Danio rerio: one gene and its partner. The protein of the gene in region 1 binds, or shares a complex with, the protein of each later gene. Links are inferred from orthologs where the notes say so. Each region holds a gene or a part of one and is shown on either strand. Other genes may lie near its edges.

The links.
Region 2: the proteins of cftr (region 1) and gopc are in contact, whole or in part, in an NMR structure (PDB 2LOB), measured with the Homo sapiens proteins. The link is inferred for Danio rerio from reciprocal best matches to the Homo sapiens genes CFTR and GOPC. Residues at the interface, in NP_000483.3 of Homo sapiens: Val1475, Gln1476, Asp1477, Thr1478, Arg1479, Leu1480; in NP_065132.1 of Homo sapiens: Gly298, Leu299, Gly300, Ile301, Ser302, Ile303, Thr304, Gly305, Glu308, His309, Glu317, His319, Thr347, Lys348, His349, Lys350, Glu351, Val353, Leu356.

The regions. Positions count from the first base shown.
Region 1 is NC_133193.1:22,079,110-22,082,945, forward strand, and holds part of cftr (cystic fibrosis transmembrane conductance regulator), read left to right. Parts: intron 1-303; coding exon 304-480; intron 481-1,382; coding exon 1,383-1,574; intron 1,575-3,836. UniProt on the Homo sapiens protein: Epithelial ion channel that plays an important role in the regulation of epithelial ion and water transport and fluid homeostasis. Mediates the transport of chloride ions across the cell membrane.
Region 2 is NC_133195.1:45,573,775-45,578,171, forward strand, and holds the end of gopc (Golgi-associated PDZ and coiled-coil motif-containing protein), read left to right. Parts: intron 1-204; coding exon 205-379; intron 380-3,073; coding exon 3,074-3,192; 3' UTR 3,193-3,810; downstream 3,811-4,397.

The DNA of each region.
Region 1 (3,836 bases):
ACTGAGGCTCAAACACATTGCTTTTCACTTTCGAAAGGCAACTAATTGCTTTGCCCTTTGTTGACTGTTTTTTGTGTATTCCAATAGAATTGCATGTTTTATTAAACTAACGACCAATGAAGTCTGAGGTCAATGATTAACTCTAAATTACTGGAACTACATTTGGTGATGTTTTCAATTGTAAATGTGACTTGGCTATTCATTTTCAGCACTCTTGGAGAACAGAGCTGTGTGAATGCATTTGTTGTTTGTATGTGTGCGGTGCGGTGCGGTGTAAGGAGATGTGACGCTGTGTTTCTTTAGGGTCCCGGTGAACTTTTGGAAAGGATAAAACAGGAGAACAAAGCTAATGGGCATCACAATGGAGACGCAGGCCTCTTCTTCACTAACCTGTATGTGGCTCCTGTACTGAAGGACATCAGTCTGAAGCTGAAGAAAGGAGAGATGTTGGCTGTTACTGGTTCTATGGGATCTGGGAAAGTATGAGCGCTTATTTTCATTTTTTTAGGTGTTATCTATTGCAAATACCATGCATAGGTGCAAGTAGTATCAATGTAAATATATTATAATCATTTAAGATGTTATAGTGAGACTACAGATGTCCATTCACAGTTAATAATAATGTTTAATTTTTTTTAACTTTTAATTAAAATTATTGTCTATTTATTGTGTATTACACACTTTTTACACAATTGTATATACAATTTATGAGATAAATTAATTAAATTTTTCTATTAAAATTAAAAGCAAAATTCTTATCTATTTAAAAAATGTTCAGTTTTGTAAATAGTAAAATAAATATTTAAAGAAAGAGACTAAACATTTCTGACAAATAGCTCTCACCTACAAAATCATTTATTTAATAATTAGATTTGTGATTTATTTACATAATTAAGAAAATCTAAAGTGCGGCAAAATATGTAATGACAAAATGACACAACCCATCTCTGGGAAACATTCACACACACACACACTCATAAACTTCGGACAATTTAGCCTACCCAATTCACCTGTACCGTATGTATTTGGACTGTGGAGGAAACCGGAGGATTTTTGAATAATATTAATTAATTATTTTGCTTTTAAAAAGGTGTTTGTACTTTTTTAAAGAAAAGAGTATTGTATCCACAAAGCTCTAATAACAGCGATTCAATAATTTAAATTATACTAATATTTATTTTGAATATACATATTTGAGCAAAATTTAATTTTATTGAAATTGATAATATTAACATAATACCTTACAATTATTAGTTATCTGTTATTAGTTATTAATTATATAGTTTGTACTTAATTTTATTTTGCAATTTATTAATTTAAACATAACTTAATATGTAAGGGGAAGAGTTGTCATTGCTCAGACGTGCTGTCTATATTTATAGAGCTCATTGTTGATGACCATCCTCGGGGAGCTGGTTCCCTCCTCAGGGAAGATCCGACACAGCGGTCGAATCTCTTACTCCTCCCAAACAGCCTGGATCATGCCTGGAACCATCCGAGACAACATCCTCTTTGGCCTGACCTACGACGAGTATCGCTACAAGAGTGTGGTGAAAGCGTGCCAGCTTGAGGAGGTATTGACAAATTCATCTGTCCCTCATTTCCTGAGCATTACTCCCATCTCCAGTTCCTCTCCTCTCTGGACAATAGTGTTGTGAAATTACTGGAATTTCCAACTCGATTTATCTAACTCGATACTTTGTAAAATGATGTTTTGTGATATGATACTCTTAAAAATATTGAGACTCTGTGTCACTGTTGATATAGTCGAGTATTAACCACAAACTTAATTTATATACATTAAAAAAAAATTAAAGACAAGTCAACAGACAGTAATAAATAAATAAAACAAATTACAAACAATAACACAAATAAATACAACAGAACAAATATACAGATGAAATAAGAGCTTAACATTCTTCTGGTACATGTACTGTATAGGCCTATTGCTTTTGCCTTTCCTATTGTTGTTTCAGACATCATTATTTGTTTAAAAGGTACAAGGTACTTTATTTAAAAGTAAAAACTGTAAATTAGCCAAAGTAAGTCAAGAGGGCTAATTTTCATCTGTTACCCCTGCAAGATTTTAAAAAGCCAACAATAAATCAAAAACAGATTATTACACATACAACATCAGTAAAATTACATACAACAAAATATTAAAAATTGCTAACAATTTCATAAAATAACAAGAGAAAAGAATTACATTTTGTCAAGAATAAAAGTAAACTAAACTGAAACTAAACTAAACTGAAATTTAACTCTAAGCTGCTTTGACACAATCTACATTGTAAAAGCACTATATAAATAAACATGAACTGATTTAATTTCTTTAAGTGCAATAATAAAATCTCACATTTTGCTTTATTCACATCAGATACACGTAGTTTTGGTAACAATAAAGTTCACTCGCTATAAATAAGCCACAGCTATATCACCCTACAGCCCAAGACCGGTTACTCACTGAAGCTAAGCAGGGCTGAGCCTGGTCAGTACCTGGATGGGAGACCACTAGGGAACACTAAGTTCCTGTTGGAAGTGGTGTTAGTCAGGCCAGAAGGGGGCGCTCAACCTGTGGTCTGTGTGAGTCCTAATGCCCCAGTAAAAGTGAAGGGAACACTATACTGTCAGTGGGCGCCGTCTTTCGGATAAGACATTAAACCGAGGTCCTGACTCTCTGTGGTCATTAAAAATCCCATGGCACTTCTCGTGAAGGAGCAGGGGTGTAACCCCGGTGTCCTGACCAAAGTCCCTCTATCGGCCCTTACGATCATGGCCTCCCAATCATCCCCTTTCTACTGAATTGCCTCTATCACTGTCTTTCCACTCCATCAATAGCTGGTGGATGCTGCACACTGGTGGTGGTGTGGAAAAACCCCATCATGATTGTGAAGCGCTTTGGGTGTATGGCCATACACAATAAATGCGCTATATAAATACACATTACATTACATCACATATATTCTTTTCCCAGTTGAACAGCCACTTACTTTACTTTCATGAATTTCAGAAGAAGTTGATGAATGAACATGTTGTAAATCCAGCAGCTCTAATCTCTCCACTGATGTGCAAACTAACATGGCGGTGCCTATCACCCAACATAGATCAATTATTTTATTAAGCTGTTTAAACACCAAACTAAGTATTTTAACACGTATTTAAAAATTCTAATAGCAGATATTTTTAATATAATTAGGTTGTTTGTCAGTATTTTCAGAAAAGGGAAAATATTAACAATAAAAAGTTAGATATTGTGTTTTTTTTAAATTAAGGCGACATGGTGGCTCTGTGGTTAGCACTGTCGTCTTACAGCAAGAAGGTCACTGGTTCGAGTTCCAGCTGGACAAGTTGGCATTTATGTGTGGAGTTTGCATGTTCTCCCCGTGTTCAGGTTTCCTCCAGGTGCTCCGGTTTCCCTCACATTTCAAAGACATGCGCTAAAGGTGAATTGGATGAACTAGATTGGCCATAGTGTATGAGTGTGTGTAAATGAGAGTGTATGAGTATTTCCCAGTACTGGGTTGCGGCTGAAAGGGCATCCGCTGCATTAAACTTATGCTGGATAAGTTGGTTGTTCTTTCTAATGTGCCAACCCCTGATCAATAAGGGACAAAGCCATAGGAATTATTTTTAAAGTTATCTGACATAAAAAAAAGTCAGGAGTGCAACAGAGAACTCAATAGAGAAAAAAAGATGTTCAATCAGTTTTAAATATTAAGTTCTCCAGCATGTATTACGCTTCAATATTTAAACTAATAAAACCTGAAACATGCAAATGAGCTGCTGTAAACTCATAAAGGAACAGGGTGAAACTGTGACGGGACAGATTAGATGTG
Region 2 (4,397 bases), on another chromosome or scaffold:
TCACGCTTTCATCAAACTATCTCATCAAATCATCATAGAAAAAAGTGGATCAAATCAATCATTCGGTTAATTCCAAATTTAAGTCATATGATTACTGTGTGAACAACCAAAGGTTATATTTACCTGAAATAATAAAAAGAATTGATTTGCATACATACACTGACACTTCGAGAAACTAACGCAGTTGTGTTTTTCTCTCTTCAGAGGGGAGAAATTGAGTTTGAGGTGGTTTATGTGGCTCCAGAAGTGGACTCAGATGATGAGAATGTGGAGTATGAAGACGACAGCGGGCACCGCTACCGTCTGTACCTGGACGAGCTGGAAGAGGCATCAGCAGCCAATCACAACAATGGCACTGCTGACCCCGCCTCCCTACAAGGCAAGTACACTGAATTGAAGGGGTAGTTCGTCCAAAAAAATTACATTTATATCATCATTTACTCACCCTTGACATGTTTGTCTTTATTTTTTTTTTATGAACACAAAAGAAGATATTTTAAGATAAACATGTAACCATTGACCTCCATACTATTTGTATTTCCTACTATGGAAGTCACAGGTTTTTAGCTTTCTACAAAATATCTTCTTTTGTGTTCAACAGAATAAAGAAAAAGTGGTTTGGAACAACTTGAGGGAAAGTAAATAGTGAGTACAGAGTAAATCCACGCAAGCTGTTAACCACCAAAATGAACAGCTTAGTAAATAGCCCTTTTACCGTCAGTCTAAGAAATAGACATTTTTATTTTATTTGACCAATTTCTTTGCTTGAATTGCGTTCCTGACACCACACTGAACAACATTTGCTTTTCTTTTAGCTTATAGCTCAACCAATCAATGGCTTCCAAGAACACAGAGAATGGACTCGCATTCTTATGGAGAGTGGTCTTGTCAAGTTACCTCGGTCTAGCACAGGACGTATCCTCTGAGAAATGAGATGTTGCGTTCTTCCAGATGGTCACATGACCTTCACGAATTTTATCTAAATTATTTCACGAAAATTATTTAAACATTACAGCATTCTTTTTTTTTTAATATTTATTTTGCCTTTATTTGACAGGACAGTATGTTGACAGAAAGTGAAGTGAGAGAGAGAGAGAGAGAGAGATGGATGGATGGATGGATGGATGGATGGATGGATGGACAGACGGACGGATGGATAGATGGATAGATTAAAGCAGTTTGAAAAAGATAGATAGATAGATGAAAGCAGTTTGAATATAGATGGATGGATGAAAGACAGATTGGAAAGACTGATAGACAGACATATAGATATCTATCTATCCATCTATCTATCTATCTATCTATCTATCTATCTATCTATCTATATATATATATATATATATATATATATATATATATATATATATATATATATATTTTTATATATATATATATATATATATATATATATATATATATATATATATATATATATATATATATATATTTCGGGAAAGTTCCTCGAGCTGGAATTCAAACTCGGGACGCCCGGAGTGCTGCTGCTAGGGGTGTGAACCTACACTGGTCTCACGGTCCGGTTAAGATTATCATGCTACGGTGGCCGGGAAGTGTAAAACAACATTACAAATTGTAAAACACTTTTACAAAGCTCAAGACAAATTTACATTTTGAAAAACATTTTACCTATCATCAGACACAATTACATAGGAAAAACTATTTTACCAAGGACGAAATAAATTAACATTTTTTTAAAAAAAATGAACAAGACGAAAAAACACTTTTACAAGTCCCGAAACTAATTTACAATTACAGATTCCTTATGGAAAGGTAATGTACCACACACTGGAAGTGACACACATATAAATGTGTCTGATGATAGGTAAAAAAAATTTTAAAATGTAAATTTGTCTCGAGCTTTGTATAAGTGTTTCACACTTTGTAATGTAGTTTTGCACTTCCTGGCCACCGTATCATGCCATCGATTCAGTTCAATTCGATATCTTGGTGCATCATGGTTCATTGACGATGCTTTTAATACACAATTAGATTTTTTTTAACACAAATGAAACATATTTTAGTACGAATTTCAGCAAATAAACACCCTTAATGTGTTTGTCTTTATTAAGATTTTCATGTTAAAGTTTACTTTCACCATCTCATATAGGGAAGTTATGTCTCTGCACTATAATAATAAACAGATATGAAATGCTGTACTTCTTATCTCCTTTCAAGAGTTCACACTTAGTTGATGATTGTTTATAAAGCTTGTTTGACTTGCTGTCCCGGGAGAGAGCCCTGAGCTCATAAGATCCTCGAGTCCAGGGTTCACTCCTGTTTGCAAGGCGAGAGGTTAGTTTGAGCTCAGGTAGATCTCGAGAACTCTTCTGCTGTAGATGCTAATGAACAGATAGTGTTTGCTCTTAAGAGATAACTACTTACTAGCAGCATGTCTAAGGTGCTGATTTGGAGTAGTCAATTAACTTAAGTTGCATGTTTTTGGACTGTGGGAGGAAACCGGGCACCTTGGAGAAACCCACGTGAGCTCGGGGACAAGGTGTAAACTCGGCACAGAAACGTTAGCTGGCATGGTAAGGACTAGAACCAGTGACGTTCTTGCTGTGAGGCAACAGTGCTAACCACTGGGCCACCGTGTCTAGGAAAGGAGGAGGAGTAGGGGTGGAAGGGGGTTTCTTCAAAACAAAGATGGCTGTTATATGGAACTTAGAGTGATTATAGAGGCTTAGGAATCGTCTGATTGGTGAATCATAAATTGGATAATGCAGGACCAGCCGCATGCAATCATAAGCACATGATCCTCTCGAAATTAGTTTATAAATAAACTTCACTTATTCAGCCACAATGAGTTCTGAGACTTCTCGAGCGAGTTCTACGATCAAGTCTGCATCAATGGGTCCTTGATATCCAAAACACATCCGGGTTCTTTCACACATCCTCCGTTCTTAAGTTTTTTAGAACTGAACTATGTGGATTGATGATGACTTTATATGAGAACACAATGCATATTGAGAAACAGCCATGGTCTGTTAAAGTAATCATTTAAAAAAAATGTAAAACCTTACTGTCCGCTTTTTTTTTTTTTGTATCCTTCCAGCTGTAGGGAAGCACTTAGTGAACAACAGAACAGAGAACGGAGACGTGGGCTTGTCCAGCGAATGCCCTTCAGACGACAAAACCTCCAAAACAGCAGAGTCTGCAGAGAGCTCATCCTAGACACTGAAAAACCCCCAGAAGAAAACGGCAGACATCAGTAAGAGATGAAGACTGAACATGTATAATATGTAACATATAGGAGATTCTTGGTTTTATTGCATATGGAGAACAGTCTGCTTTTACGTCCACTGGAGATTGAGGAACCACTGAGAAACACTGAGAGAAGAGGACATGATGGCACTCGGTGGATTATTATTATTTTTTGCTAATATTTGTCATCATTTTGGGTTATATAAAGGGACACAAAATGACCATCTGCGTTGGAGAGCGAGTAAATCGAGTTTATGGTATAACAATGTTGGATCCTTCTGTGTATCTTCCATAGATGAGCTCAAACTTTCACACTGTACTGAAGTAGATGGATATAGAATCGAGTTACTGTTTGCTCAGAATGTGTGTGTGTGTGTGTGTGTGTGTGTGTGTGTGTGTGTTTGTGTGTGAACATATGTTTCTAACCTCTTGATCGTGAGTCGATCCTGCTTGTTTGTCTTCTGATCTAAAGCGAAGGCAAACAGGATGATTTTACTTCCTGTTTTGCACACCGGGTGGTCAGTAGGTGACGGGGACAGAAACGAGTGTGTTGTATTAAACGTGCACATCCACATGTGCTTTCATTGGCTTGCTTTCTTTATTCAACAACACACTTTCAGGTTCAATTTAGCTGATTGAGGACGAGTTTTAGGGTGGATCTCAATGAAGTGATGTCTTGGACGTATTTTAAACTGAAGAATGTTATTATATTTACTAAAAATAATTTATGTTATATATATATATATATATATATATATATATATATATATATATATATATATATATATATATATATATATATATATATATATATATATATATATATATATATATAAACCTCCAATTGTATGTGTTTTAGGTATTATTTATTCATTGCAGGAGTCTTGACATGACTAAATTGGTAACACTTGACAATAACAGTACATGAATAATGATGTATTAATATATAAACTAAACATTACTTCATTATTCATAATGCGTGTTAATCGTTGACTTACTTTAACTACAACATGAGTCACATGAGTTCATGTGTGAATAACCGCTACTGTAATTACTTGTTAATGCATGATTGTTTGTTAATTAATGTATTTTTACCACATTAGTTTATGCCTAATTTAACCATCATGAACTATGTCCTGACTTTTCTTGGAGAGGCACATCATGATTAACCCATT